Linked DNA regions of Saccharomyces cerevisiae S288C. The gene in region 1 interacts genetically with each later gene. Each region holds a gene or a part of one and is shown on either strand. Other genes may lie near its edges. The genes, in order: XBP1, CCA1 and YKR104W.

Region 1 (7,879 bases):
TATTGGATTTTCAAATAATTGAGACTGAATGTGATGAGCAAATGGTAATGCCTGTGTTATTGGTTTGAAAGTCTCACTGCAAACGGGACAATTTTTCCTTTTTAGTGAATGTAGCGTAAAGAGTTGTAAATCTTCAACTTCTTTCTCTGCTGTTGTGGCAGTTTCCGTCTCTTGATTTCCATTTTCATCGTCAGAAGGGTGCAGGCAATCTCTTGTCTTCAAAGACGATATACCTAGTGACAGGTATATCAATAAAGGGTCATTTTGTGATATGCCATACATGGAATAAAAGTCGCTCAAGAATAAATCATTTAATACCGACCATCTTTGATCATCTAATAAATTCAGATATCTTTCGAAATCTCCACTTTGTAAATTTATTAAGGAACTCTTGTCATAGTCTGTTGTATTCACCGCAGGTTTGGAGGTAATTCTAGGTAAAGATTTGTGAAAAAAATGTTGAAATATTCGATCTTTCTTCATTGGTAAACTTTGAGACTTAATCTCTTCAGTATCGAATCCAGAGCTGGTAGAAGAAGTTGGCTTTTGATCATTACAGTATTTGATAAAAATCAGAAGTCCAGATGCTAATTTTAAATCGGTGAAGTTGCTCTTAACGAATGGTAAAAGGAATCTTTGAAAACATACTATAGCGTCGGTATAGTTATCCACCTTTAGTAGTTCAATATATTCTTGCAATCTTGCTTGAAACTCTAATATAGAGGACTTTTTGGTCAGTGTCTTTTTGTTCTCGTTTATCCATGAAATTAGGGGTAAGAGATTACGCTCATGTAGTAACGAAGTCGAAATTCTATTAGCCTCCAAGAGGACATCATAATCAATGAGATCATCCAGTTGGCTCTGTTTCAAAAACACTACGCCAGAGTTCCAATGATCCTTTGTCTCCGAGTTGTATTTAATCGGGTTATTCCTCGTCAGATAATCACCAATTAAAATGTTTGTATAACTCTGATACCACTGTATCAATTTAGTCCTGGTACCCTCATTATTTCCATTGTGCGATGTTCCTGAATTTTGTGACTTGATGTCCTTCAGTTCGTGGAAAAACTCCAGCCTTTTTTTAATTCTGTTCAAAATCTGACAGTAGGACTTGATTTGCGTATTTAAAAATCTTTCTATATGGTCAACTTTCCTAATCATTTCAGTTATTTTTGCTAGTGCCAACTCGTCGTGCTCAACGTCATTATGTTCAAATATTTGATTTAATGCGGCCGTGTGTTCATGTAGTGATTTGGTTTCCTTATTAATTACCGCTTGAGTATGCTTGATACGTTTGGACAGTAGTTCATAAGGAATATGAAATAATTGTTGATTTAATTTCAAATGGAAATCCACATCAGGCTCATTAAATATTGATTTCTCTGCCATGGCTTACCTACTTTCCTATAATTTATAATCATTTTCTCTGTTTTATGTATGAAATTGTAGATTTAACCACCCCCTTCTCTTCGCCTTTGCAAAAAGTGAATATCTCAAATTGCACTAGAGTTTCATTTGCAGCGATAAGTGGATAACAAAAAGCTGAAAAGAGAGAGAAAGAGAGAGTGCCAGGGAAATGGATAGACCAAGAACATTACGCACATATAGAGGACTCATAAGAGCCATTCTGAAATATGAAAGGCCAAGCAAGATAGTCAATTGGGGCAATCTACGAAAGGCAATGATAACAAAGTTGGAATATGCTAAGAAACAAAATCAGAGAGACTCGCATGAGAACATCAACAGACAGTTAGAGAAATGGAAAAAACTAGATCCGGTAAGCGACAGATCTTTGAATTTGTTTATAGCCGACTCTAAGTCATTACGTTCCATATTACAAAACGATATAAAGTGGGAGAAAAAGGTGGCCCAGGGACAAAACGTTGACGAGATATTCGAACACGCTTTGGACATCATCAAGTTCTTGGACAACCAAAGAGAATACGAGGAGCTGGTCGACAGATACAATCCTGGCAACAAGTTGACACAGGATGAGAAAGTGAAAAGAACTGCAAACGTGGTTGGGCTGGACGTTCCGACATAGTATCTAATCAATTTATAATATCAGAGTTTTGTAAATAAGTATATATATATATTTGATGTAAATATCTAGGAAATACACTTGTGTATACTTCTCGCTTTCCTTTTATTTTTTTTTTTGTCTACAAACTCTGTAAAACTTCTTGTCTTATTTGATAGGCATCCCAGAATGAAGTATAGGACCAGGTAAGGTGTTGGGCACCCTGCATAAACCCTGTGTATTTGTTAAATTGTTCACTTAGTTCCCCGTCTGTTCCCACGTGAGCTTTCAGCTTGACCAAGAATGAATCAGCTAGTTGGAAGATTTTTTGTATGGTTTGATTGAAGGCAGGTGTATTGAACTCCAAAATCAAATAGCCTTCGTCATTTCCCAAAGTCGTGAGGTTGGAGAATACCAGCTCGCTCCAAAATGCGTTCGAACAATCGTTGTTCATTGGGACAACCAAGTCATGCTGCTCAGAGATGTGTCTGTAAATGAGCTGATAAAGCGTTGTTGAAGCGGTACACGTGGCCAGGACCCAGGGATTTCCCTCGCCAAAGCCATATCCATCATATACGTCCTCAGGATACCGGCCCAGGGCAATACCCGTTGCATTTTTGGAGCTATCGTTGATGGGGTATATCGAACGCATGTGCAACATCAAATGGTGCAACGTGTTCAGGACGGCAGGGTCATTGATATCGAACGGAAGATGGGAAGCAGATGGCGCATCGTGGACGGTGTTCGCAGCTAATAAAGTGGATATGTCCAGTCCGGATCTCAATGTGTCGGCAATCATGGGTGTCCCAACAATATAATTGTACTTGCCGTTGATAAACCCATTCGCAGGGTCCACTAAAAACTTGGAGATGTCCCGGCGTGTCTGACGCAATTCTTCAACAAAGGGAGACGACCGTTCTGAGGCGTTAAAATACGACAGCGACTTGTCCACTGCAGACAGTTGTACCAGTAAAGTAAAGAAATGCATGCCATTGACTTCCTCCCATAGATCAAATCCGGAAGAATTCCAGTGGTCAATAATGAACCTCAGGTCCCAACGTACAATATCATCAAAGATATCTGCGGTGGACTGGAATGGGTACTTGGCCCCCAGATCAGTGCCAGATTGCTTGATGTAGTCGATGATTTTTAAGATGGCAATGCTTCGAAGAGCAGGCCCATCGTTTTGAGGACGACCCCAATCTTCCGTGAAAGCCGTGTTGTCGACGTTCCACTTAGGGTCTCCCAAAGCCACTGTATCGTTAGTGTAACCAATGCCAGCGCCCAATGTGTTGTTGCTTCTTTGCAAGTGGAATGAAACGTTCAGGTACTGCAATAACGTCTCTATTGCCGGGCCCGCAGAATGAGAGACAATACTGTTTATCGTCAACGCGCTGTCCCTTATCCATTGGTAGAAGTAGTCTGGATGCGTTTGCGATGGTGACGCAATCACGACCCCAGGCGAAATAGACGGATACACGGCGCTGGGCCCAATATTTTCAAATATTTTTTCGATGGAAACTTTTTTCTGTCCCTGGAGCCATTCCTCCAGCGCACTACTGTCCCAAGCGCCGTTTGAATCGTATACCACTGTCCCATTCATCAAGACTGCATCCCGCAGCTGCACTTGCGAAGGGCCGTTGTTTGAAAATACACCGCCGTAGCTTTGATCGAGAATGCCCTTGCCAAAGTCAAATTCGTATATAGTAATGTTCTCGAGCGCCCAAGCAAACCCGAATCCTACGCTGAGCATGCCGAGTAATTTGTTATAAAACATCTTTTGTCTTGCCATTTTGCTGCTGTTACTTATTTGAAATCTTGCTCTAGTCCACGATTATCACTATATTGTAAATGTACGATTTCTTGTGTAACAGAACAGATAACGGATCCAGAGCCAAGAGATGAGAAAAAATACGAAATGCGCAGGAGGAAACAGGGAACCAAAAAAGGACCCTTGCTTCTGTGCCTGAGTCCCCTAATTTGTGACTCCACACATGCAGGCAAGTTAAAAGCACCTTGTACGAGTGCTATGAATGGGTGTTACTCTGGCCCGATTTCCCTGACTTTCCTTATTCACCCTCACCCCTAATACCCGTTTCCGCGGATAATGTTCTATGCTTCGAAGCGCCCCCCTTGCGCTGGGCCTCGAACCGCATCCATTGAACAACAGCTTGGCCTTCCCTGTATTCTACCACATCCATTGCTATTGCCCCTCTCCCCTTCTCCTCTCTCTTCTTCTCCACTATACTGTGCTTTTCAGCCCATTCGGCGCGCGAAATCACAAGCTGTATATATACATTTACATATACATATATATATATATATATATGTGCATAAATGTATGTACATATATGAATGCCGGGCCGCGTGGCGTCTGTAGCTTGTGCGTGTACGTGTGTACACACTTCAACATATATATACATACATATATATATCTATTATTCGTGTACTAGTGTTTTAACTTGCTCGTTCTCGGTACGCATCCAGTTCTTCTCCCCACACAACGGCAAGCTCAAAATACCTTATCATAGACACCTTCTCCAACATGAAATATCCCGCTTTTAGCATTAACAGTGACACGGTACACTTAACGGACAACCCCCTGGACGACTATCAGCGTCTCTACCTCGTCAGCGTACTGGATAGGGACTCGCCGCCGGCCAGTTTCAGCGCCGGACTCAATATTAGAAAGGTTAACTATAAATCCTCCATTGCTGCGCAGTTCACACATCCAAACTTCATTATCAGTGCTCGGGACGCAGGGAACGGGGAAGAGGCGGCGGCGCAGAACGTTCTGAACTGCTTCGAGTACCAGTTTCCCAACCTACAAACAATTCAGAGCCTAGTCCACGAACAAACGTTGCTATCGCAGCTCGCTAGCTCCGCCACTCCTCACTCCGCCTTGCATCTGCACGATAAAAATATTCTGATGGGTAAGATCATACTACCTTCCCGGTCTAACAAAACACCAGTCTCAGCATCACCCACCAAGCAAGAAAAGAAGGCTCTGTCAACAGCATCGCGTGAAAATGCCACCTCCTCGCTGACAAAGAATCAGCAGTTCAAGTTGACCAAAATGGACCATAATCTGATCAATGACAAGCTCATCAACCCTAACAACTGCGTAATATGGTCGCATGACTCCGGCTATGTGTTCATGACGGGCATCTGGCGGCTGTATCAGGATGTTATGAAGGGGCTTATAAACTTGCCCAGAGGTGACAGCGTTTCCACTAGCCAACAGCAGTTCTTTTGCAAGGCTGAATTCGAGAAAATTCTATCTTTTTGCTTTTACAATCACAGTTCGTTCACTTCTGAGGAATCTTCAAGCGTACTGTTGTCGTCCTCCACCTCTTCGCCGCCAAAGAGACGGACATCCACAGGGTCTACCTTCTTGGACGCCAATGCGTCTTCTTCATCTACTTCTTCAACGCAGGCAAACAATTACATCGATTTTCATTGGAACAACATCAAGCCCGAACTGCGGGACCTTATTTGCCAGTCTTACAAAGACTTCCTGATCAATGAACTTGGTCCTGACCAAATAGACTTGCCCAACTTAAATCCGGCAAATTTTACGAAAAGAATAAGAGGTGGTTACATCAAAATTCAGGGTACTTGGTTGCCGATGGAAATCTCAAGGTTGCTATGCCTGCGGTTTTGTTTTCCGATCAGATACTTTCTGGTGCCTATTTTTGGTCCAGATTTCCCCAAAGATTGCGAATCGTGGTATTTGGCTCATCAAAACGTTACATTTGCTAGTTCTACCACTGGTGCAGGTGCTGCTACTGCTGCTACTGCTGCTGCTAATACAAGTACCAATTTTACGTCTACTGCAGTGGCAAGACCTAGGCAGAAGCCCAGACCCAGGCCAAGACAAAGATCTACTTCCATGTCCCATTCCAAAGCGCAGAAACTTGTTATTGAGGACGCCTTGCCCTCATTCGACTCATTTGTAGAAAACTTGGGCCTTTCCTCAAATGACAAGAACTTCATTAAAAAAAACAGCAAAAGGCAAAAGTCGTCCACATACACCTCTCAAACTTCTTCTCCAATAGGGCCAAGAGATCCAACGGTGCAAATTTTGTCAAACCTAGCATCCTTCTACAACACCCACGGTCACCGGTATTCATATCCGGGAAATATCTATATACCACAGCAAAGATACTCTTTACCCCCACCAAACCAGCTCTCGTCGCCACAGCGGCAGCTAAACTATACTTACGACCACATTCACCCAGTTCCTTCTCAGTACCAGTCTCCAAGACACTACAACGTCCCCTCTTCACCAATCGCGCCTGCTCCTCCCACTTTCCCTCAACCTTATGGTGATGATCACTATCATTTTTTGAAATATGCTAGCGAAGTTTATAAGCAACAAAACCAACGACCAGCTCATAATACAAATACCAATATGGACACCTCTTTTTCGCCAAGGGCGAACAATTCACTGAACAATTTCAAATTTAAAACAAACTCAAAACAATAAAAATGTCATCTGTTACATTTTTGGTAATATTCTTTTATAATGGTTCTTTAATTTTTTTACATAATTTACATATTATTTCAAAGTTTTTCAAAAATATCCGTACTATATGTTTTTCCAGACAAAACATAAAACATACAATGATCTTTTTGAAGAGAGAATTAGTACACTCATTACAAGGTGTATGACGTGCCGAAGAAAAAAATTGCTTCCAATCGGATTTGAACCGATGATCTCCACATTACTAGTGTGGCGCCTTACCAACTTGGCCATAGAAGCTCGTACTTGTTGGTTCAGTACTCTTCATCAAGCTATACTATTTATCTAGGATGACGGTCACAGTGATTCGTACTCGACTGCTTCTATAATCTGTAGGTGGCTTGCGCATATCCTGAATTATCGTAATTAAAGAACCAAGTTAGATGCTAAAGGTGGAAAAGTTCAAAAAATTGAAGCGATTCGAGGTCTATTATTGTTTAAAAAATTCTTTTCTGGAAGAAGTAGATATCGAGATGAAATATTCCTGCAGTATAACAACTATAATGAGCAATGGTTCAGCAAGCTTGTTGATGAACTGGGAAGAATTAACACCTGGTCACTGTTTTACCTCTTACACAACTAACCCTATCGCAGGTGACTATGGTTTGAATGCATCAGCAATAGACGGCCACACGGAAGAGTTAGTGGCGACCCACCCAGCGGGAACCTTGGAGAATGCAACGCAGTAGGTTCATAGCATTCGCAAATAATGGCATAGCCTCACATTTGCTGATGAAAATGGTACTATTCTGCCACAGTCCTGCTCTTTCTTTACAGAAAATGAAGAACATTAGAATGTTGTGATAAAAATTTAGGGTTACTTATTTCATGAAGGCAGTAATAATACGTATGAAAACATTAGTCAATAGACGATTGATTATTATTCCAACAATAGTATATCTGAACAGCCGTACGCAAAAAAAGCAAATTTAATTGCTGACCATTATTCAGAGCAGCTGTTTTGCCAACGTTTGCTCAAGCTATTGTCCAAATCAAATAGAGAGATACGAGTAAGCTGTTCATCAATGCTATGACTTTTAAACACATTTGATTCTTACTGCGAAAATTCCACTAGACAATTAGGGCTAATATGTGACATGCATATGTGACATGCATGTGGTGCAATTGCTGTTAAACATGGGCCTGTAAGCGGGCCAGCACATCTTCAACGGCAACCTGCCTCGACGTTTGGATGGAATATACTGAACTCAATGTGATGACCTGAAGCCACAGTCAACTCCTAATTTTCGAAGTCATTGTAGCGAAAGTATTTCTTAGACGGGATACTGTTGTTTATGTTCATAAGGGTGCCTCGATAAAAACAGATTCAGCCA
Region 2 (12,046 bases), on another chromosome or scaffold:
ACCCACATCTGGGCTTGTAGATCTAAGCGAGCTGCTTTCCATTTCTTTTAAAGTTGGCCTGTGAAGTAAGGGCATGGCAGGATTGGGTAATTGATTGAGGGGTGGCGTTCCTTTCGACTCTTTATTATTGTCCCTCCAAGATTTAGCGAGTTTCTTAACATCTATTTCCACTGAGTCTGAAATGCAGTGGCATTTTCCAGCTTTCTTCCCAATCGGTAGCCACTCCTCCAAAGCAAAGTTGACGGATTCTGCCAAGTTATATCCATAATTGAACCCTGCATGGTAACCATAGGGATAAGTGATCATGAATTCGCCTTCATGGTGGACAATTTCATTGCATCGTATGCCATTTTCCTGCAGCAGTTTGGGCGAAGCCAAAAACATTTTATGTCTTAAAAATTCAGGACAATTTTTGGCTTCTTCGGGAAATTGCTCCTGCATGAATTTGTAGAATTTGAACCTATCCTCTTGCGGTATCGAATACCACTGTTTTGGGGCACCGAAATGAATATAATTTATGGAATACAGGTCCTGATCTTCCAAGTGCCAAGAAAAAGAAGCCTTCCATAGACCAGCGTATAGATAGGAGTCATTCACCCCAGGAACCTTTGTTTCCATATGGTCCAAGATGTTCGGTAGTTTGGCAACATTCCAAACGTTCAGCCCTTCAGGAAAGATTGATCCTGGTGTATCTGCGCCGTACATAGGCGTAGTAAAATTTAGCGTTTTCCAATAATACTCTTCCAAGAACTTTAATCTCTCCGTATTTTGGAAGTCAGATAAATCTATTGTATACTCCGTCCTGAACTGTTCAAAATCATCAATATTAAAAGACGATTCAAAATTTTTCAGTTTCAACTTCGTGGATTTGGAAACGGAGCCTTTCCTAGAATTACGTCTTGCTTTAGGATCCTCCGGAGGCACATAGTCCTTAGAAAGATCTTTCCACTGTATAATGTTATAGGTCTTGTTTTTCTCCACGTTCTGCACCATAAAAAGACCTTTATTACCAGAAATATGCTGCTGAATAGGTGATTTAATCTTGATCTTTTGGAGCGTTTCCGCAGAATAAGGCAGATCTAATTTGTCTTTCCATTCTTTAGGTGGGATTACTTTCACAACACCACTTTTCATGCCATATTTGTTTATGGCCTTGCAGTATGCATAGAAATCTTCGAATTGCTCGTATGTGGGTTTGAAGACGGGCACTCCGCCCACGATTTCTGAAGGAGCGATTAGTTTCGTCATGATTTCACGCAACTGAATATCCTCACCAAGACAGTCTTATTCTTTTTTTCCCTTTTTTTTATCTGTTTATTTTTCTCCAGCAGATCTATAAAATAAGTGGTACTAATAGAAAGGTTAAGTCCCCCTATTTTAAAATAATGCTGATAGAATGATTAAATTGGCCGCTTGATGAAAACCGCAAGTAGCTACTTCAGGGACAAGCAACGCCTTCGATGCGAATATATGTTTTGCTGATAACGATCTATGTACAGCGTCTGCAATTCTCTTAAAATTATCGCCTTGCCATTGTTACTTAAGGAGTCTATGTGATTAATTGCATGGCGATGAGGTTACCCTTGAAAAATATAGAAAAGATTTTTCCGAATAAAAAGAAAGTAAAACTAAAAAAAAAAAAAAAATGGAAAAAGAAAAAGAAACGTTTAGGGGAGAGGAGGGCTGCGGTTAAGGCTTATGGGGTGTATGGGCGGGGGAAATAGGGCATACTTTCTCGATTCACCAAACCCTTAGGTCATCTGATTTTTAGGGTTGTGTTCTTGTCGTTACTCAGCCCTAAAAAACATTCGTTAGGGTTGAAAAGTTGAAAAATGAATCGCAAAAATCTACCATATTAACAATGTACTAAAGGAAACTACATAATACATCGCAACGCTTCCCTCGAGATTAATTCGTATCCGTGGGTTATAAGGGCTTTTTTTGTGTATGCTACGGTCTACTATATCTCTACTGATGAATAGTGCTGCTCAGAAAACGATGACGAATTCTAATTTTGTTCTAAATGCACCCAAAATCACCTTAACCAAAGTGGAACAGAACATCTGTAACTTGCTGAACGATTATACAGACTTGTACAATCAAAAGTACCACAATAAGCCTGAGCCATTGACTCTTCGGATCACGGGCGGATGGGTGCGTGACAAGCTTCTGGGACAAGGTTCTCACGACTTGGATATTGCCATCAATGTGATGTCAGGTGAGCAATTTGCTACTGGTTTGAACGAGTATTTGCAACAACATTACGCCAAATATGGAGCCAAGCCTCATAATATCCACAAGATTGACAAGAATCCCGAGAAATCCAAGCATCTGGAAACTGCCACTACTAAGCTCTTTGGCGTTGAAGTGGATTTTGTCAATTTAAGATCTGAAAAGTATACTGAACTTTCCAGGATACCTAAAGTGTGCTTTGGCACACCCGAGGAAGACGCTTTAAGAAGGGATGCTACATTGAACGCTCTTTTCTATAACATTCATAAAGGTGAAGTGGAAGATTTCACCAAGAGAGGTCTGCAAGATCTAAAAGATGGCGTTCTCCGTACTCCGCTTCCTGCAAAACAAACATTTTTGGATGATCCCTTGAGGGTTTTGAGGTTGATCCGTTTTGCTTCTAGATTCAACTTTACCATAGATCCGGAAGTGATGGCTGAAATGGGCGATCCTCAGATTAATGTTGCATTCAATTCAAAAATTTCTAGAGAGCGAGTTGGTGTGGAGATGGAGAAAATATTAGTAGGACCAACCCCTTTATTGGCTTTGCAGCTGATTCAAAGGGCTCATCTTGAAAATGTTATCTTTTTTTGGCATAATGATAGCTCCGTCGTAAAATTCAACGAAGAGAATTGTCAAGATATGGACAAAATTAATCATGTATACAATGATAACATACTAAACTCACACTTGAAAAGTTTTATTGAATTATATCCAATGTTTTTAGAGAAGCTTCCTATCTTAAGGGAAAAAATTGGTCGTTCGCCAGGATTTCAGCAAAATTTTATATTGAGTGCGATCCTGTCCCCCATGGCTAATTTACAAATAATCGGGAACCCAAAGAAGAAAATTAACAACCTGGTTTCGGTGACAGAAAGCATTGTGAAGGAAGGATTGAAGCTGAGTAAAAATGATGCAGCAGTTATTGCCAAGACCGTAGATTCAATATGTTCATATGAGGAAATACTTGCTAAGTTTGCAGATCGTTCCCAGCTAAAAAAATCCGAAATCGGTATATTTCTACGGAACTTTAATGGCGAATGGGAAACAGCACATTTTGCATCTCTATCAGATGCATTTTTAAAGATTCCCAAGCTTGAAACTAAAAAAATTGAATTACTTTTCCAAAATTACAATGAATTTTATTCTTACATATTTGACAATAATTTGAATAATTGTCATGAACTAAAACCAATAGTGGACGGAAAACAAATGGCAAAACTACTTCAAATGAAGCCAGGTCCATGGCTGGGTAAAATTAATAACGAAGCGATTAGGTGGCAGTTTGATAATCCTACAGGGACTGATCAAGAATTAATAACTCATTTAAAAGCCATACTACCAAAATACCTGTAGTAGCTTATTAGTATACATAAGACATGTAGAACAAGAATGCATAAATAACTTTCTGTTACCTTATTGAAAAGAAAAAAATAAAAAAAATGAAAACGAAAATGAAATAATATCTCTAGTAGTTATTCTATGGTGTATGATAACTAAACATATTTATTAGTTTTTATATACTCTATTCAAAATTTTTTACCAGTTTTTAACTTTTTCGAAAGATATCTGTTACTATTTTTGAACTTTTTTTTTTTTTTTTCATTCCTTTTTTAGTTGCTATTATCAAAATAAAAAGACTGTAAATTATTATCAATGTCGTTATTTGCAATTGGTGCTGCATTTTGATTATTTGAGTTTTCCACAGATGAGTTCGCCTGATACTGTGGAACGAAAGTATGACCATCGTAAAAATTTCTTTCACTGTTGTTTGAAACGTTTGAGCCCATCAGGTCGCCTAATGAAACAGTTGCTGAAGTATCCGGAGATATATTTCCAATGTATGTATCCGCAGACTTGGGTTCATTCATGTTGATGGCGCTGTTGCTGTTGTTATTGCTGTGGCCCATCTCACCTAGTAGCTTCGATTGCTCATGGAAAAACGACTCTGGGTTTTCAAAATCGAACTCGGTATACACTTGCAAATTAGTCTTTGTTGTATCAACATTGTTTGGTGTTGAGCCACTGTAAGAAACGCGATTTCCGGTATTATTATTGGATTCTGATCGAGAAGCGTGTTTCCATTGAGATCTAATAAAATGATCGAGGTTTGCATCACTCAATCCCAATCCCGTATTTACCAATGTATACTTATCTTGATCTTGAAAGTAGTTTCCGGTCGCGTTGCTTGTTGTAGTGGATATTGAGTTCGTCATAACAGAATCTACGATGCTGCTACTAGTTGTACTACCGTGTGGCATCAAAGAGTTAAAATCTAAACTGTCATCCTTTCTGTGAGTATCCATCCCCATAATATCCCTTCTTTGGAAGTGTGCCGTATTCGGAATATCTTGTACTAGGACATCCTCTTCTTCATTTTCTTCTAACGTGGATCTAGGTATACCTTTTAGTGCCGGTATATTCTCCATTGGAGTATTGAAAGCAGAGAATTCCCCACTAGCGTCGTTTTCGTTACTGTATTCTTTGTCAAATGAGGAAAAATTGCTAGATGGGCGATAACTTGTAACAGTACTGGTACTTGGAACAAAGTTCATATTGTGTGTTTCAAGCACATTTGGAGTTGAAGAAGCAGATGCAGAACTTGGTAATGTGTAACCTGTCATGTAGTAAGGAGGAGTCACCAGAGAAGATGAAGGTGTTGTAATGTACGAATTAGAATGTTGAATTCTTTGAGCATCAGAGATAGATTCTTGTTTCTTCCTATGCCCTCCTTTGACACTGCCACTTTTATGCTGTGGTTGGCCATCCAAGAATATTTCGTTAACTGGGGTTGTACTATCCATTTCTGGTAGATCAGTGACGCTTGGTAAAGAATTAAGGTCTCTGGATAATCTATAAAGGGAAGACCCACGAGTTGCGGATCTTGCTCTTCCTGGCGATGCAACTCTTATTGGTGAATAACGATTTGACATGGATGATAATGAGCCAACTGAAGTGGTTCGCTGAGTTGGCAATTTATTAACTTTTATATTTGATTGCTGAATAGTTTGTGCAATAGTGGGTGAGGCTAGCGAACACGTGGACCCGCCAGTGTTGGCTCGTTTTCTAGTAAACATCTTACTAAATGCAATAGAAGCGTCATTTTCTTCCGGTAATTTAACTTTACTTTGTGAGTCTCCGCAGTTGAAAGATCTTGAAGTTCTTGGTGAATCAGGTGAATGCTTTGCAAAGTGGGGTGTACTTAAATCGGAGTTCAGACTTAAAGAGGATTTATTGTTACTGTAGTTTTGATCTTTGAAGTTGAATGATTCGGTAGAATGATATAGCCCACTTTCCTGTGACTTTTGTCGGTCTGAACTCTGAGGCGCCACTTTATTGTACTTCAATCTTGTATTTTTTGTGTTCATGAGAGGTATACTTGATAAGTTGGGAGTAGAATTTGTTTCGCTTTCAGTGAACCTTGATGGCGGTTTTGCTAGTGAAGGATCATGAGTTGATTTCGGAACGACTTCTTTCTCGGAACAAAAATCGTTATTGTCAATAGGCAGATCAGTAGTGTTACCCATCATGTTTAATGATGGAAAGGACAAGTTTCCAGAGAACGGAGTTTTACCGTTTAGCCTATTGTGTTTTAAGAACGAGTTATAAGATCTTTTGGTTGTTAGTGACGAGGCGTCGATTCCGCTTTCTGAGATAGGGGTTCCCGAAAGGGGTTTAGATTCTGAATCCATTTGAAGCACCATTGGTTGCTCTTCAACGATGTCCTCTATGTGTTCGTTCTTTGACGATCCAAATATCTTCAGCATTCTCCTTTTGGAGGATTTCTTCTTTAATTTCGCCTTTGGTGCTGGCACAGAAACCGGCTGGGTTTGCAAGTCAGTATCATTTTCGTTAGCCGTGTCCTGTACAGTATAATTGACGAAGACCATTTCACCTGATTTCTTTCTACTACTCTTCTTCGCCTTAGTATGGTTGTCTCTGGGATCCTCTAGCAAAACTTTTTTCGGGCTAGACATAACATTCATAGTAGGTAATACTGGAGTGCTACATGAGCCTGTTGAGGAGTTCCTGTCCGGCGAAGCTTGTGTGCTGCCGCTAGCGGATCTGCGATAATAGTGCGGAATTTTCCATTTATTCGTAGATTCCGTAGAACGACTCTTTGTGGAATTAACCGAACTGGAACGATGGTGGTGACTATTCTTCGGCATGTGCTATTGGTTTTGAGCGATAAATCAAGACTGCCTTGCTTCTTGTCTTAGATCTCCTTCTGAGCTTTCTTAAAAGACTTCCCTAAATGGCTGATCTGATTGTTTCCTTTATTAACAACAAATCCACTGAAAAAAAAGTCAATAATTTGATGGATATTAGCGAATGTTAACCGGAAATAGGAGTGAAAGACGTGTATTACAAAACTATGACTATGCCTGATTAATATCCTGAATAACTAGGCATGAACCTTTTTTCACGCAAATAATAACAATAGGCCTAGGATTTCTATGATATAATAAACTTTCTGTTAGTATAAAAAACTATTTTTGATAAATATAGTCTCTCACCTAGTCAAAAACATACGTATCACGGCTTGATTAATTCTTAACTCTACTTTACAACATTTCAAAAATTCCTTTGATCATGACCTTAATCAATTTTTTTGCCAGTTAGTGGAGAGTTCCCAGCGCTGGAAAGTGCTGGCGTCAGTTTTCCATCGGAAGAAAAAATTAGCCCACCATTGTGCGTCCTTGAATAATAGCGATCCGGGTTAACCGGGAGTGTTAATTATAGAACAAAGAAACCCACACGTCCGCTACTAAAACTTGCTAAAAGAAAGAGTTAACGCTGTAGTATGCATGAATTCCAAGGCTTCTAAGGCTTCTAAGGCTTCTAAGGCTTATCCAGTAATATTATGTAATATTATATATACAGTGAAAAGCGGAGTTCCATCAGCTATGGTTCGGATATCATTATTAATTGTTCTGTTGTGTTCCGATTAAGGAGGCTGCGTTAGTTACGCCTGGTAGATCTAGAGATGTTCTCGCTCTTTCCACAGAGTAGCGGTTATCTAGTTGGTTAGTGGCGATCATCTGTTCTCTTGTGCGGTCCAAGGATGACCTGACGTTGGTTGATGGGCCTCTTCCGAACGTTTGGGCCTGCTGAAATTGGGGCGATTGAAGAAGATCTTGTGTTTCCTTGGGTGAAGTCATCCAGGTTTCTTGCTTCTGATATCCGCTAGGACTTCCATCTTCACCGTGCATGAAAGTCATTGGAATCTCCTCTGTGACAACACTATCCCTTGAATAGTTCGATCCTCCTAAGTTGTCGGAAAGTGCTATGCCTTCTATAATCTTCTCTCCGTGTTGCCCAGCTTTTGTGACCTTGGGTCTGTTGGGATCTGTTGGATCGTAACCAGGAGGATAATGATCGAAATGGCCATGTTGCCACATCTCTCTTACTATTTCCACATCAGTTGGGTAGAAAAATTTTTGAAAACTGTCATATGTGAAACGGGGCAGTAAGCAGAACAGCACGGCAACAAAGAAAACAGCCCAAAATGAAGGTGCTCCATAGATACGCGCTGCAGCTTTGAAAAATTCTCTACTAGCTATCGCAGAAGACCATATTCCCGTCCATGCAAAAACTACGAGGCAAGACAGTGCAATGAATAATCCACTAAACCAATCCCATCTATATTGGTGTAATAAAACATATGTGTTACACGAAATTACAGCAATAGTGGTCACATAAACACCGACAAAATAACGATGATCCAATCCTAACCCATTGCTCGTAACTATCATATTTTTGTGATAAACCAAGTAAGGGAAAAAAAAACAGATAATAGACTGATATAATCCGTCCAACATATACCATAAGAACTTTCTTTGGTTCCATTCTTTCCTTAAAATTCCAACACGGTATAACTGAGGGACCACTAATGATATTGTGTCATTCACGTCCTGGTCCAGAATACCTAAGAAGATGACTGGTAGGGATGTAAATGCCAAATTATAGAACATCATGTATGTGTATTCATACAGGTAAGACCCATCAAAATCATTATAGATACCATACCAGAACAATGCCAAAGCAAAAATCATGTTTTTGTAAAAAAACTCAGGAATCATTTCTGCCAGTCTCTTATAAGACCACCTACCGTGAACGAGGACCAATCTAGCCAAATATCTGAATTGTCCAATGGCGTAGTCTGAGCACATAACAGCTTGTCGACCTTCTTCACCGGCAATACCAATACCAACATCCGCAGATTGAATCATGGCGACGTCGTTGGAACCATCGCCGATGGCTAGTGTCATGACATCTAGAGAATCCTTGACTAACTTAACAACGGCTGCTTTTTGAGATGGAGATACTCTACAGCATAAGACAGCTCTACAATTCTTGCAGAGTAAAAGAAACTTTCTTCTTATATCTTCACCATATAGCGCCAATTTCAAAGCATCACCATCGATAACGATGGCGTAATTACCCTTCGGAAATTCGTGATCCTTTTTAGCTTCAAAAATCTCTTCTTCTGAACCGGTTAAGTTGAAATACTCCTTCAAGTATTTGGAGAGTAAAGCATCCACAATTTCACTTGGTTCTGATCCGAATTCTTTCACGTCATCACCAGTTGTTTTAATAACTAACAATTCCATTTCATTATTCAAAAGGTTGCAAGAAAATCCAATGTTTATAGCTGTTTCAACTTTATCACCCGTAAGAACCCATAATTTAATTCCTGCCTCTGCAAGCAACTCTATACAATCCGGAACACCATCTTGTAAACGATCTTCGATAGCTGTACCGCCCAATAATATCAATTCGCGTTCAATGGAATCTGCAACAACTTCTAATTCATCCTCTCTGTTTGCTAATGATGCAGCAGCAATATCGTACTTTTCGTTCCATTTTTCGTATTCAGACCAACTTAACTCCCTTTGAGCTATGCATAACGTTCTTAAACCTTCAGTAGCGTACTGCTCTAAATGCAAAGCAGTTTTTTCCAAAATAGCTTCACTATTGCTACCACTCTGGCGACTTAATCTTGAGTATATAATGGAATCTGCACCTTTACAAATTAAAAGTGCTCTAGGCTCGTCCCCTGGGTTCAGACCCGGAATTTTGACAATACAGGACATTCTTTTTCTCGATGAATTAAACTCCAAAATATTTAGAATCTCAAATTCTTTTTGAATACCTTGCATTTCAATTATCAACCCTTTTTTGGTTTTTCCAACAAAACTGAATCCTACATCTCTAGCTGTGGCTACTAACGCTGCTTCGTCTGGAGATTGAGCTTTTAAATCCAGTTTTTTTGGATTGTCCGGGTTTGCTTCTACAAGGACGGAGTGACATAAAGCTAATGCTAACATAAAGTGCTCACAGCATCTTTGTTGTACTTCACCACTAGCCCCTTTCAAATCGCGAACGAACTCCTTTGATACAAAGGTAACTTCTTCGGGATAAAATTGTGAATTTCCTGATAAAGCTCTCAGTTCATCGATCATTGTATCCCTATCCTTGGCAATTTCGGCCTTCTCACGCCTACCTTCGGTTTCGACGTCGATACCTTGTCTTTTTCTTAATCCCGCTAACGCTTCGGTGTAAGCTCTTCCATATGAAACACCATTGATAGTACATTTTTTAAACTCCATTACATTTTGAGTTAATGTACCTGTTTTATCAGAAAATATATATTCCACTTGACCTAAATCGTCAGAAATATTCCAGGATTTTGGTGTACAAGGATAATCCAATTTGGCATTGTAGAGTAAAACGTCTCCGTAAATGAAGGCCGCTTGTGCAGTTTTGATGATCTCCACAGAAATGTACAAAGAGATTGGGACTAAAGATTGGTAAAGAATAACAGCAACCCAAAATGAGACGAAACCGTTTGTCGCCGCTGACCCAGCAATTGTTCCAAATTCATAGGAAAACCGTGATCTGCCTTTTTTGTCGTAATATACACCATTTGCAATACCAGAAACAAAACATAAGATGAAAAGTAGCACGAAATTTATCACCACAGAGAAGTTTAGTTCTCTTGAAATCCTGGACTTCTTGGTGGGTGTAATGCCAGAGTTTAACATGATTTTTGTGTCACCACCGGTAAACATTACAACACCCATTGCCCACTTAGTATTTCTAAGAGTGCAACCACGAAGCAGAACGTTATTAATAGTAATTGGCTCATTTCGTATCTCGCCATCTGCAAGATTTCTCCATTTCATATTACCTTGATAAGTGTACAAATTTGAGTGGGGCCCTTCACTTTCGATCCAGAATTTTGTTCTAGCAATATCTTTTGACGTTCTTATAGTATTGGTACACTTCAAGGATTGGCGTACCTTTAAGTTTGTTTCACCATCCAAATTTTTAGTTTCTACGTAGCAGGCACCATCTGTATCCGACGTTGAAAGTAAGATAATGTCAGCAGGGATTTCATCATTGTTATGGATACGAACAATATCACCAACCTTGACACCTTTCCAATAATTCTTGGCAAATTTACAATCAGTTCTGGGTGGTAGGGATCTATCAACTATATTGGCTTCACCGGCCCCTTGTTCCAAATTATCATAATCCAATGAAGGACGGCCATAATCTGCAGATACTCTGTAACTGTCAATGGAGTCTAGAGAGGATCTGGGTCCACTCGTTCCAACAGTTTTTTGTACTCTTAGTTCATGACGCTTTCTCTGCATTCTCTTCTTTTTGCCCTCTTCAGTTAAATGTTCTTTACAATATTGTATAAACTTGAAAAGGAGTCTAGAGTTTGCTTTCTTAAACCTTCTCCACAATGAAATATTATCGGTTGAGACATTTTCGTTCTCAACACCTTCTAAAATATGTGTCTTGGTATTATTCACCTCTAAATCTAGGACGGTTCTTCTTGAGTCTTCAATAGCATCCTTGATCGCAGTGATTATAACAATGACAACTAACGGAACCGCACTTAAACCAGGGTTCGTGACACCAAAAATTTGAAATGCACCTAAAATTATTAAAACTAAGAAATAAACGTTGGCGAAATTATGAAACTGAAATAGAATGTTTTTTGGTAAGAATGTTAACGGGGTATATTTGGTAGTTCTGATTTTATTACGAGGATACTGCATAATGGGGTTGCCTTCTTCATCTATCATATCTTTTGGTAAGGGCATATTGTAATACACAGTCCTTAGTTCTTGCGCACGATTTATGGCACCAGGGTCAATATCATCCTTCGTAAAGTCTTCAAATGGGTTTGGAATGTTCTTCCTAGCCCATTTCAAGGTCTTAGATCTTCCCATTATTGGGTTTCCTTTTTTATTCCTTTTTGTACCCATCCGGAATCTTTTCATACCATCGTAGTTAGTGTGCGGTTCACCACTATCATTGTCTAATTCCACATCATCAAACGTCCCAGATCCATTATTAAGTTTCGGTGTTGGCTGAAAGGAATGATTGTCATATTCTGTGTCATCGTTAAATGTGAATTCTTCTGCATCTTCACGTTTATTTTTGGGTGTTTCATCATTGAAGCTGACCTGTGGCCGGCTGTATTTGTTGCTTGTTGCACCATCATCAAAATGGGTAGGTGCAATATGTGTATCTTCATTACTGCTATTATCTTCAAATTGAAATGTATCTTCAAAGGGCGACATGGGAGCATGCCCATCGCCATGAAAAGTTCCAGACATAATTATCAACTAACTTTCCTTTTTAAAGTTAACTGCGTTTTTATTTCACTTCCAGGAGGAAATAAAGGATTTCTGTTACGGTTGCTTTCCCTTGCTCAACCTCCGGTTAATTTTTGAGTGTTTTTAATTGCGACCCTAAAAATCCACTTAAAACTGTCTGAGTTGCGTATTAC
Region 3 (11,133 bases), on another chromosome or scaffold:
TTGTAGAGTTGGTTAGGCATGGTTTGTGTCCATATGGCACCAGAAACGGAGGCACCGATAGCAGCGCCTAGCTTTGAAAAGGTATACTGAATGCCGGTTATTACAGCCATCCTACTATGCGTAGTCATGGCTTGCAGTATGACGATCACTGAATTGCTGCATAGGAGACCGCTCAAACCCATGATAACAGATGCAGCGATAACACCTTCATGAGACCCAGATCCTCCTCTGTATTTGTAAAAAAGGCCCATGCACACCATCCATGCAGCACAACCTCCGATTACAGAAAGTTTCAGTTTCCTTGTCTTTGCCACCAACAAACTGTAGAATGGAGATGCAGTAGCAGCAACAAAGTCAGGAAGGTTTACTATCCGAGCAGCCGAAGTGGACGATTCTTTCATCGATACCAGCAAAACAGGATACAGATAGTCGCACGAAATGAAAAAGGTGAAAAAATTGAAAAAAGTAACACCAAGGGGTGCCCAAATTCCACGATCACTTAGTAATTTGAACGGTAGAAGAGGAGATTTGGCAAATTTGGCCTCCCAATATAAAAAAATGAAAAATAAACAGCCACCTGAAACTAAAGTGGCAATTATTTTTGAATTGTGCCACTTTTGTGATGTCTCATTAGCCAACGTCAAAGGAACAAGAATACACCCTAGCGACACAGTTATTAATAATATGCCAACAATATCGAGTTTCCAGAATAGAAACACCAAATTCTCAAATAATCCGCCCGTTCTTTCCTTTCTAGCCTGTTCTTTGAGAGATCTCCACTCAGCAGTCTTTGAAGATTTGTACTTCATATAAAGAATAAGAAATATAATTGGCAAGGTAGAGAGTGGGTAAATAAAAGCCCACATTGCAATATTCCAGGACCAGTTTTTCTGAGGATTTGCTGCTGTGATAATATTGCCTGAAATCCATGGTATTATGATATATGGCCAATATGAGGCGTACTGGTAAAACATTCTCCATTTCAAGGAGGAGAAATCTGAGAGTATTAATGTCAGGAGCAGATTTGTTCCGACGTATCCACAGTTATAGAAAACCGATCCTGCTGCATACATGGTGAGACGGGTCGCCTGTGATTGAATGATGGTTCCCATTATATAAAAAATAGTTGCAACTAAAAAAAGCCTTAGTCTTCCGAAGTGGTCAGAGAGTCTAGAGTAGACAACTTGGGATCCGACACTCACAACAGCATTGATAACTTGGACAGTTGAAAGTAAGGAGTGTTCTGAATATGAGTTCGTTGCATAGCCCGTATAGGTCGATCTAAGTGTGTAGTCTAAACTAATTCCAAACCCACATACAAACGCGGTACTTATCAGTAGAATTTTATATTTCAAGGAATCAAACTGTGCAGACATAATTTCGTTTTCTTTGAGCTTAAAAAAGGTCGATGTCATAGAGTACGTGTCATCGTTTGAGTGACGTTCTCGCTCAATAATCTCACAGGACTGCCTAATTCCACTTTTTTTATTACTTGAGGCACCAACAACACTAGAACTCATCCGATAATTTATTTACTTGATTATTCTTTTTTTTTTTTTTCTCGTTCCAGTCCATAAAACTATTTTACTTTTCTTATTTATGTAAATAGTATTTAAGATTCTACGGTCGCTACATCTGCTAGAAATGGAATTACTTTAATACATTCCATGTTCTCATATATATTTTACTGACACATTTTGTCACTATTTTTTTTTTAACTTTTTTTTGGAAGTACTAAAATTATATGCTCGTAATTATTGAGTATCAAAAAAAAATAAAAAAAATTGCTGTGACGCCCCTTCAATGTGGTGTCTATACACCTGGTGACTTTAACTTTAACTTTGACCTGTCGTCGTACAATCAACTTACTTTCCGAAAATCCACAACGAACCAGTTATACCGAAGACTTTTGTACGACAAGAATACTGTACCGTCGAAACTATCTCTTTTCAAACTAATGAGTGAAGCTTGTGTTTATGTCTGTTGAAACAAGGAAAAAAATGCGGTGCCTGTCGACAGGATATGAGCACAAGTGCAAAATCATCAAAAAATTGAGTACCTAGATCCGGTGGTGTAGGACGAGCAAAGTTCCTTCATAAACAAACCGTAAGGGTTACTGATACACAATTTCCTTTGTGTAAAGAGTATTTGAGCAAATTAGTCGGCGATTGAAAGCAACACCCTTTTTTCTATATATAGTAGGTGAAAGTTAACATGCGAGTAAAAGTAGTGCCACATTTCCTTTGCAGCAGGTGCAAATTAGTACATATTTAACAGATAGCGCCGCACCTCATATGCAGCGCGTACATGATACGAGTCGACAAAATATGCAAAAGATAATAGTGTCATCACACCTTTATGAGAAGCGAATTTTTTTTTTTTTTGGTTTAAATATATATATACATATATATAGATGTATTCTAGTTATACTCATACCTAGAACTGATCAGACCAGATCATACCTGGTATAGAGCTTAATCGATAGAAATTCAAAAATATGGAGGAAACTAAGTACTCTTCGCAGCAGGAGATAGAAGGAGCATGTGGTTCAGACGCTTCATTGAATGCTAGAGGTAGCAATGATTCTCCAATGGGACTTTCCTTGTACCTCTGCCTGGCTTCGTTAACTCTTGTACTATTCATAACTGCACTGGATATTTTGATAGTGGGAACTATTATTGACGTGGTCGCAGAACAGTTCGGAAACTACTCCAAAACAGGTTGGCTCGTTACAGGCTACAGTTTACCAAATGCTATTCTGAGTCTCATTTGGGGAAGATTCGCATCTATCATAGGTTTCCAGCATAGTCTCATTTTAGCAATACTTATTTTTGAAGCCGGATCCCTAATTGCTGCCCTTGCCTCTTCAATGAATATGCTCATTTTCGGTAGAGTTGTTGCTGGTGTTGGGGGAAGCGGACTCCAAACGCTTTGCTTTGTTATTGGTTGTACGATGGTTGGTGAAAGGTCACGTCCATTGGTGATTTCCATCCTAAGTTGTGCATTTGCTGTAGCTGCTATCGTTGGTCCTATAATCGGAGGTGCCTTTACAACCCATGTTACCTGGAGGTGGTGCTTCTATATCAATCTTCCTATCGGTGGTCTTGCCATTATTATGTTTTTACTCACCTATAAGGCCGAGAATAAGGGTATACTTCAACAAATTAAAGATGCTATAGGAACAATCTCGAGCTTTACTTTTAGTAAGTTCAGACACCAAGTTAATTTTAAAAGACTTATGAATGGCATAATCTTCAAGTTTGACTTCTTTGGTTTTGCCCTCTGCTCTGCAGGGCTGGTCCTTTTCCTACTGGGGCTAACCTTTGGTGGTAATAAATATAGTTGGAACTCTGGCCAAGTCATCACATATTTGGTTTTGGGTGTCTTACTTTTTATTTTTTCATTGGTGTACGATTTCTTCCTATTCGATAAATTCAACCCGGAACCTGATAATATATCCTACAGGCCTCTCCTTCTAAGAAGATTGGTAGCAAAACCAGCCATAATAATAGTAAACATGGTAACATTTCTATTATGTACCGGTTACAATGGGCAAATGATATACTCTGTCCAGTTTTTCCAACTTATATTTGCGTCGAGTGCATGGAAAGCCGGTCTTCACTTGATACCAATCGTTATTACCAACGTTATTGCGGCCATTGCAAGTGGTGTGATTACCAAAAAGCTCGGTTTAGTTAAACCACTCTTAATATTTGGAGGCGTTCTTGGGGTAATTGGAGCAGGGCTTATGACACTTATGACAAATACGTCCACGAAGTCAACTCAAATTGGTGTTTTGCTATTACCGGGGTTTTCCCTTGGATTTGCTCTACAAGCATCGCTCATGAGTGCACAGCTTCAAATTACCAAAGATCGTCCAGAAGCTGCTATGGACTTTATTGAAGTAACAGCTTTCAATACATTCATGAAGTCATTAGGTACAACTCTTGGTGGTGTGCTTTCAACCACTGTTTTTTCCGCCTCCTTTCACAATAAAGTATCACGAGCTCATCTAGAGCCTTACGAAGGAAAAACGGTTGATGACATGATTTTGTATCGTCTTCAAAACTACGACGGTTCTCATTCGACTATTGGAAACATTTTAAGCGACTCCATTAAGAACGTATTTTGGATGGATCTAGGGTTTTATGCCTTAGGATTTTTGTTTTGTAGTTTTTCATCCAATAAGAAATTAATCATACCAAAAAAGGACGATACACCAGAAGATAATTTAGAAGACAAGTAGCGCAGTTATTTTCTTATTTTCATTTTATTTTTTTTCGCCTTTTATACAGACTTCAACACAATCAGAATCAAATAGGTGTATCGCAATGGAATGTAATTTCTTAAGTATTCTATATGTACTTAAAACCTATTAATATATGGATCAGTAGTTCATAAAATTCATGCTGGTGCGTTCAAAGATGTGTCTTTAGTAAGAAATCTGGAAAATTCGCGAGCCTGAATATACTCATCGCAGTGCAAGAAAAAGGTTGTCTTCTTTTCTTTTCTTGACAAAAATGCAGCGATAACCTGTAAAGAGAATCTCAAATAGACACATGATAGCAGCTGCGTAATAACAGACCTCAACCGCAATCACATTAAAGGCGTAAGCAAATTTGGCCAGCAAAATTTTCGTTTGTTCCTCGACATAAATTCTCATCAGAAAAACTGTTTACTGTCAGTGCTTTTGTCTTTGCCGCCAATACGGCAGAGAATTACATAGTATACTACGATAAACTTCTATAAATTTAAATATAGATAAAAATAGCACGATATGAACCACGGTACTCTCCAATAGTATACTTGCGATAAAATCAGCAGCTAAGTACTGAATAAGCATTTAAATTATGGTATTTTTTTTTTGCTCCTGCTGAATATTCGGGATTCTTAACGAGAGAGTTTCTTTTGTGATGATATAATATTATTTTCTAGTATAAGTAAAACTATCAAAAAAAAGTAATAATAACGTAGCTTGTTTATATACCATAAAATGTACCAGCAAAATTTTGTTTGGCACAGACAGGTTCAAAGGAGTTATTTCTTAAAGTTCTCAAAAAAAGTAGTGGATTAGGACATATAGCCCTGAAAAGTTAAAAGCGACTTCCTGAATGCCTTCTAATTACACACAAATATATGACGTAAGCAGATCGTATACTTCGTAGCTAGAACTGGAATGAATAAAAATAGGAAATTCTAGTTGTCTTATCTTTTATTATCGAATGAGACTTTAGCCAACTCGAAAAGGTTTTCGAACTCGCCACTCTGCCTACAGAGGCGGTAAAAAATGGTATTTCGATCAGATATTAGAGTGTATGGATGATCATACTCCTTGACTCTGCCCATTTCCATCACCAGAATTTTGTCATAATCTATTACTGACCTTAATCGATGAGCAATAGTCAAAATTGTTGTATTTTTCATTGTTTCTCTTATAGTTTTCTGAATTTTAGCATCAGAAATATAATCTATTGAGGCGGTTGCTTCGTCAATTAGCATTATATTACGTGCACCAAGCATGGATCGTGCCAAGCACAAAAGTTGTCTTTGCCCTTGAGATAAGTTTGAACCACCTGATTTCACAACAGTATTCAAATCAATGAATCTATTTCTTAGTTTATGACTAGAAAAATTAGGCTGCTCTTGCTCAAAAATCAAGCACAATTCATCGCATTCTTCAATTAATCCCACTTTGGATAGTACGCCATAAATTTGTACATCAGAATACCGATCGAAAGGATCTAAATTAGATCGAACAGTTCCATCAAATAAAGTAGGATCCTGTGGGATGCAGCTTATAGAATTTCTTAAACGCTCTAAAGGGATATGTTTTATGTCTTTGTTATCAATAGTAATCGTACCGTTTTCCCAGTCTGAAAGCCGGTAAATAGCCGCTATAATAGAAGATTTCCCAGCCCCTGTTCTACCAACAATACCAACTTTTGTTCCTGCTTTTACCTTGAATGATACATTATCTAGTGCCTTAGAGGAATGAGGAGAATAGCGCAATGATAAGTTTTTTAGTTCAACATCTCCTGTTTGAGGCCAATTAGCTGGAGGTGATATGTAGCCGTTTGATTCGGAAGGTATATCTGTATATTCTTTTATTCTCTCTACTGAACTCATCAAAAGTTCAACGCTTGAAAATACTTTTATGATCCATTGAGCAGTTTCAGTAAAGGAAAAGGCATTCGATAACAGTATCCCCGCTAGCCCCGCATCCAACTATGAGGCCTTCATTATGATCATTACAGAAGAACTAAAAAGAACAAGTGTCCCAATTATATCCACTCTATATGTGATCCACTCGGTGGCCATATTGAGATAAAAAAATGGAGCATTACTTCTGTCAATTGCAACCAAAGATTGAGTGATAAACCTACGCTCATCTGCTAATGCTCTAATTGTAGTTACTCCTTTGATGGCTTCAGCGAATAACTGGTGTATTGGAGAGATATTGATGTTATCTATTCTCTTCAACTCTCTAGATGCACGAAGATATAACGTACATACGGTATAATAAAGAGCGCATAAAGGAATAGCAAATAACAGAAATTGAGGAGTAACATATCCAATTAAAAGTATAATCCACAGACAAACAACGACGCTATAAGAGAGTCCTTCGAAATTAGGGATCAATTGTTGATCAATAATATCCATATCCTTGCTAAATCTGTTCATTATTCTTCCAGTCGGCGTGACATTATGAAAACGTAACTTGGCATATAAGATACTGGATAGAAGCTTCGCAAATATTTTCTTGGTGACGTTGGTACCTGAAATTATTGCTATCCAAACTTTACCAGAAGTTAAAAATGAAGAAACAAGACCTATGATAATATAAGTCAGTAAGAAATAGATGTTAGAGTGACCCTCAACTATTCTATAAAGCCAGGTAGACTTACTCCCTGAAGATCCAGTGTCCAGCCAGTATCTGAGCCAAAAGCCCTGAGACAGTGTGATTCCATGAATAAGGATGGAGGACGAGGTGAAAACAAAAACAACTCCCAGTCCCCCGAAATAGTCTGCTAACCATTTGTAAGCTGAAAATTTAACTGATCCTTCCATTTTTGTTTCCTCAAAATTTTCAACTTCAGCACACACTTCGTCTTGCGAGTTCCCTCCCTCGGGATCTCCATTCTTAGTTTTCTTTGATGTTGTTGATCTTTTCAAGTCAATTTGATTGTGAGTTGTATTTTTTGAATCATTGTTTATGCTTTCCCTCAAAAACTCATTAGATTTAATGAGGTCCGATGGTTTACCCTGTGATTTCACCTCGCCACGATCTAAAATCACAAGCCAGTCAGCCCGTTTCGTAACTAAAGAAATATTATGACTCGTAATGATGCAGGTCCTTCCTTTCATCATGGGGCCGCATAAACACTCTTCATATATATAAAGTGCAGTTTCAGGATCTACTGCACTCAAGCAATCATCAAGGATCAAATACCTGGAAGAGGAGTAAATTGCTCTGGCTAAAGCAATCCTTTGCTGCTGTCCGCCAGATAAGGAAAATCCTCCATCACCCACGTCTGTTCTTATGCCAGCTGTCATTGCTTTGATATCTTTGTCAAGACAACAGGATTTCATTACATCATCAAATTTTTGTTTGTTGAAGATTTCTCCAAAAACAACGTTATCTTTAATTGTTCCACTAATCAACCACGGAGTTTGAGAACAATATGCCATTGAATTCGTCATTCCGTCTTTACCAATCTCTAAGTCGTCGCGGGATTCAACTGTAGGTACGTATATTTTTCCAGAAAGAAGGTTCAATTCTCCCAATAGTCCAAGTAATAGCGAAGACTTTCCTGACCCAGTCGGACCTATAATTGCGTTGAGACTATTCAGCTTAAAATCAATAGAAATGTTCTTAAGTTTAAAACTTGTTTCAGCAGCTTCCCATTCCATGCTTGCATCTTCAAAGCCAAATTTAGTATTGCTTTGTTCCAAAATCTCATATTTTCTTGTTTCTGATTCATTAAGATAATCCTGGATTCTTTCAAGAGAAATAAAAGACTGTATCAAAAGGCTGACAGTCGAAGCAATTTGGTCCATGGGTGTCCTCAATATTGCAAATAAAGAAAGAGCTGTAAATGCTATTGTAGGAGTAAGTGTCTGATTTTGGAATTTAATAAACACTGAGAATGTTATTGCAGAGACCAAAGTGGGCCCAAAGAACCAAATGAGATGGTTCAAAAAGAAAATTGTTGCCTTCTTTTTAAGGAGTCTTATTTCCCCATCTCTTACGTTTATAATCTTTTGATAAAACAGATTTTCCCATGCCAGTAGCTTTATTACACGTATTGAGTTCAGAGCCTCACTAATCCCAGAGGTACGCTTGTCAGTTAGGATTAATTGATCGGCCTGATAGTTCCCGTAAAAAGTTGCACACCAAAAATTCAAAGGAATCATGGCAAGAAGAGCAAAGGTACCAGCAAAGGCGGACCATCCCAGTAGGGAATATAGTATCATTAGGGCCGTAACTGTCATGAAAACTGCTTCACATGCCAGATAAAAAGTGTTCATAGCTTCAGAAACCTTGAAAGCGTCAATTGACATAACATTGTTCACAGAGTTGTCTTTCCTACTAGACTTTTTTCTAGGTTCCGCTTCAGAAGAGTCAGGATTTTCTTCAAAGGATGTTGACGCATTTTTTTGAAGTGACGTTGTTGAGTCTTTTAGAATTGTTCTTCTTAAGGTTTTGGAATAGATATTGGATATCAAAACTGTTCTTAGTTGCATAGTACCCTTTTCACCTAAAAACAATCCTTGACCTCTACAAGTCGTGGCAATGATTTTACTGACGAGCATAGATGAGACGTATAAAGACACCAAGTTCCATGATTTTGACTTTGGGTCATTAACGTATGATAGTATTCTTGGCATCAACAATGAGGGTACAAAGTTCAAAAAACTAGATACAAAAGCCAGAAATAATTGGGAGATGAAAACAGCCTTAAAATAACAAATAATGTTTGGAAGGAGCCTTCCTTTTTTAGAAGACATTTCAAAGTTCGCCAAAATTGCTATAGACTTATTATTAATATCCAAATCCCAAATATCAGCGTTTCCAAGGCAGTGTTTGTATGCTTTCCAAATAAGCCGATCAATCCTAGAAAAAGTAAGAAGGCCAAAGACGGTAGGAGCCGGTGGCAACTTTTTGTTCTCATTTTCAACCAAAAATGAGTACCTAGTTCCTTCTATACTTGACGTTGATAATAATAATAAAAGCGCTAAATCAATGAAAGTCTCGGAAATGATATATTTGACCATAATTTTATCTTTTATCTTTCCAATGAAGACGGAACGAAGAGGTAAAATCGAAAGAGTAAACAGGGATGCATATGAGTAAAACGAAACAGCCCATAAATCACGCTTACATGCTAAAACCCACCGAAATGACTGGCTTGCTGAAATTAAACGAAGTGTAATAACAACAAGCAGTAAAATCCAGAGAAACATTTGAACCAGAAAACCTTGGTGAAAGAACTTTTTGTTATCCATTGGCATACTAGATAAAATATACAGGTGGATAGTAAGCTGCAAAACAATGAAGGCACCCTCTATAAATTTTTTGAATTTGTCGAAAGTAGATCTATTATTAACATTACAAAAGCTACGGCTTTCCCATGCAGATTTTAGTCTTAAAACTGAGAACCTTGCATATTCGTGGTTTCCATTACCTTGTTCTTCAAATTCTGGCGCTTCATTTGTATGATTTTTCCCCCTTAGATAAAAGGCTCGAAAGACTTTGCAAAACGCGTATATCATACCAGTCAACAATATAAATAGAGGAAATTTAAACTCGATATATTCTCGCCTAGCACATTCCGAAAGATCATCACGTTCCCAATAGGGGCATGTACCATTTTTTATCATTCCTAAAAATTAATACTGTGAATCGTGAAAAGTATGTTTAATAACTAAAAAACAAATATTCCAGAACGCCAGACTTACGCTATGGTTATCCTATATTTTACTGATCTTTCCATAACAAGTGGTAATCCAATTTTTTAGGCATTTTTTATAGATAGTAACATGATTTTTTTATGACAGAGTAATGCACCCAATAACTTCTAAAACAGTATGATATCCCATTTTCGTTTAATAATCGATCATGCGTTGTACTGTCATGTCCGACTTTATTTGCTCAAAAGGACTTTGTTATATTTTTGGTTGCATATTGACAGTAAATTGGACACCCTGAAATTGCAGTTTTGAGAAAGTTACAACATGGCGGAAAAATTAACTATCGTGATTTTCATCAAAAAAGCGAGTACTCTCCAAAGACCTTTGACCGTCAGTTCTAGTAAAGATGAAACCCAGGAAGATATGTTAGAAAGTGATGTTCCGTGACCTTTTTTATTCTTTCTATTAAACTAGGACTCTAAGATATAATTTTTTTTTATTTTATATACCATTCGATGACAGTCTCATAAATCTTGAATATTTTAAACGTGTAGTTAAAATGTACGCAACTGTAGTAGGAGAGTAAAGAAATAAAATTGTTGAAGAGTGATTATGGTATTTTTCTAAATCGTGGGACAAATGTTATATTTTGTGAAATATGGCACTTTCAAAGAGTTGAAAATTTTGATCAAAAAAAAAATGATGCTATAAGCGAAATAAATCTAATATCTTGGTTAAATCTAGACACCATTATCCAATAAAAACAACAATATATTTGCACAATATTCCGAATAAAGCTTTTGATTCCAAAACTGTAATCATCAATTAAGTATAAAGATCATAAAAACCACCGGGTTCCGCTGAAGAAAAAAAGTAAAGCGTTTAAAAATAGCCCATTTTATCAAGAAGTACGTTGGTAATCCCAGAACCTATTTACAAAACGCAGTGCATCAATCTTGGTTTTATCTTCCTCCAATATATACTTGTAGGACGGAGGAAATTTTCGATTCACATTGATTCAGGTAAGCTCAATCTATCTTTCTAAGCTCACATGTATTTGTTGCTCATAACAAAACTGGCTTTTCAAAAAGCACTACACTGAAGGGTTTTAGAACTCTTGGCTTTTAGTTCGTCATTTCGTAGGGCCCCAGAATTTTCCACCCAAATATCGATTACAAAAACCCTCTGAAGAAAAGCGATAAAACAATTATTTTTTCCATT

Evidence for each region.
Region 2: mutations in XBP1 (region 1) and CCA1 together harm fitness less than expected from each alone (positive genetic interaction), as found in Saccharomyces cerevisiae (one large-scale study listed by BioGRID).
Region 3: mutations in XBP1 (region 1) and YKR104W together harm fitness more than expected from each alone (negative genetic interaction), as found in Saccharomyces cerevisiae (one large-scale study listed by BioGRID).

What each region holds. Positions count from the first base shown.
Region 1 is NC_001141.2:173,937-181,815, reverse strand, and holds XBP1 (Xbp1p), read left to right. Parts: upstream 1-4,565; coding exon 4,566-6,509; downstream 6,510-7,879. Other genes in the region: glucose-induced degradation complex subunit FYV10, read right to left, coding at 1-1,389; FMC1 (Fmc1p), read left to right, coding at 1,577-2,044; SGA1 (glucan 1,4-alpha-glucosidase), read right to left, coding at 2,163-3,812; YIL102C (uncharacterized protein), read left to right, coding at 6,929-7,234. UniProt on the Saccharomyces cerevisiae protein: Transcriptional repressor which binds to the consensus sequence 5'-GCCTCGA[G/A]G[C/A]-3'. Represses CLN1 transcription.
Region 2 is NC_001137.3:512,571-524,616, reverse strand, and holds CCA1 (tRNA adenylyltransferase), read left to right. Parts: upstream 1-1,947; coding exon 1,948-3,588; downstream 3,589-12,046. Other genes in the region: RPH1 (Rph1p), read right to left, coding at 1-1,248; BCK2 (Bck2p), read right to left, coding at 3,846-6,401; aminophospholipid-translocating P4-type ATPase DNF1, read right to left, coding at 7,158-11,873. UniProt on the Saccharomyces cerevisiae protein: Nucleotidyltransferase that catalyzes the addition and repair of the essential 3'-terminal CCA sequence in tRNAs, which is necessary for the attachment of amino acids to the 3' terminus of tRNA molecules, using CTP and ATP as substrates. tRNA 3'-terminal CCA addition is required both for tRNA processing and repair.
Region 3 is NC_001143.9:651,829-662,961, reverse strand, and holds YKR104W (uncharacterized protein), read right to left. Parts: upstream 6,127-11,133; coding exon 5,206-6,126; downstream 1-5,205. Other genes in the region: GEX2 (glutathione exchanger), read right to left, coding at 1-1,520; VBA5 (basic amino acid transporter), read left to right, coding at 2,498-4,246; putative multidrug transporter NFT1, read right to left, coding at 6,226-9,882.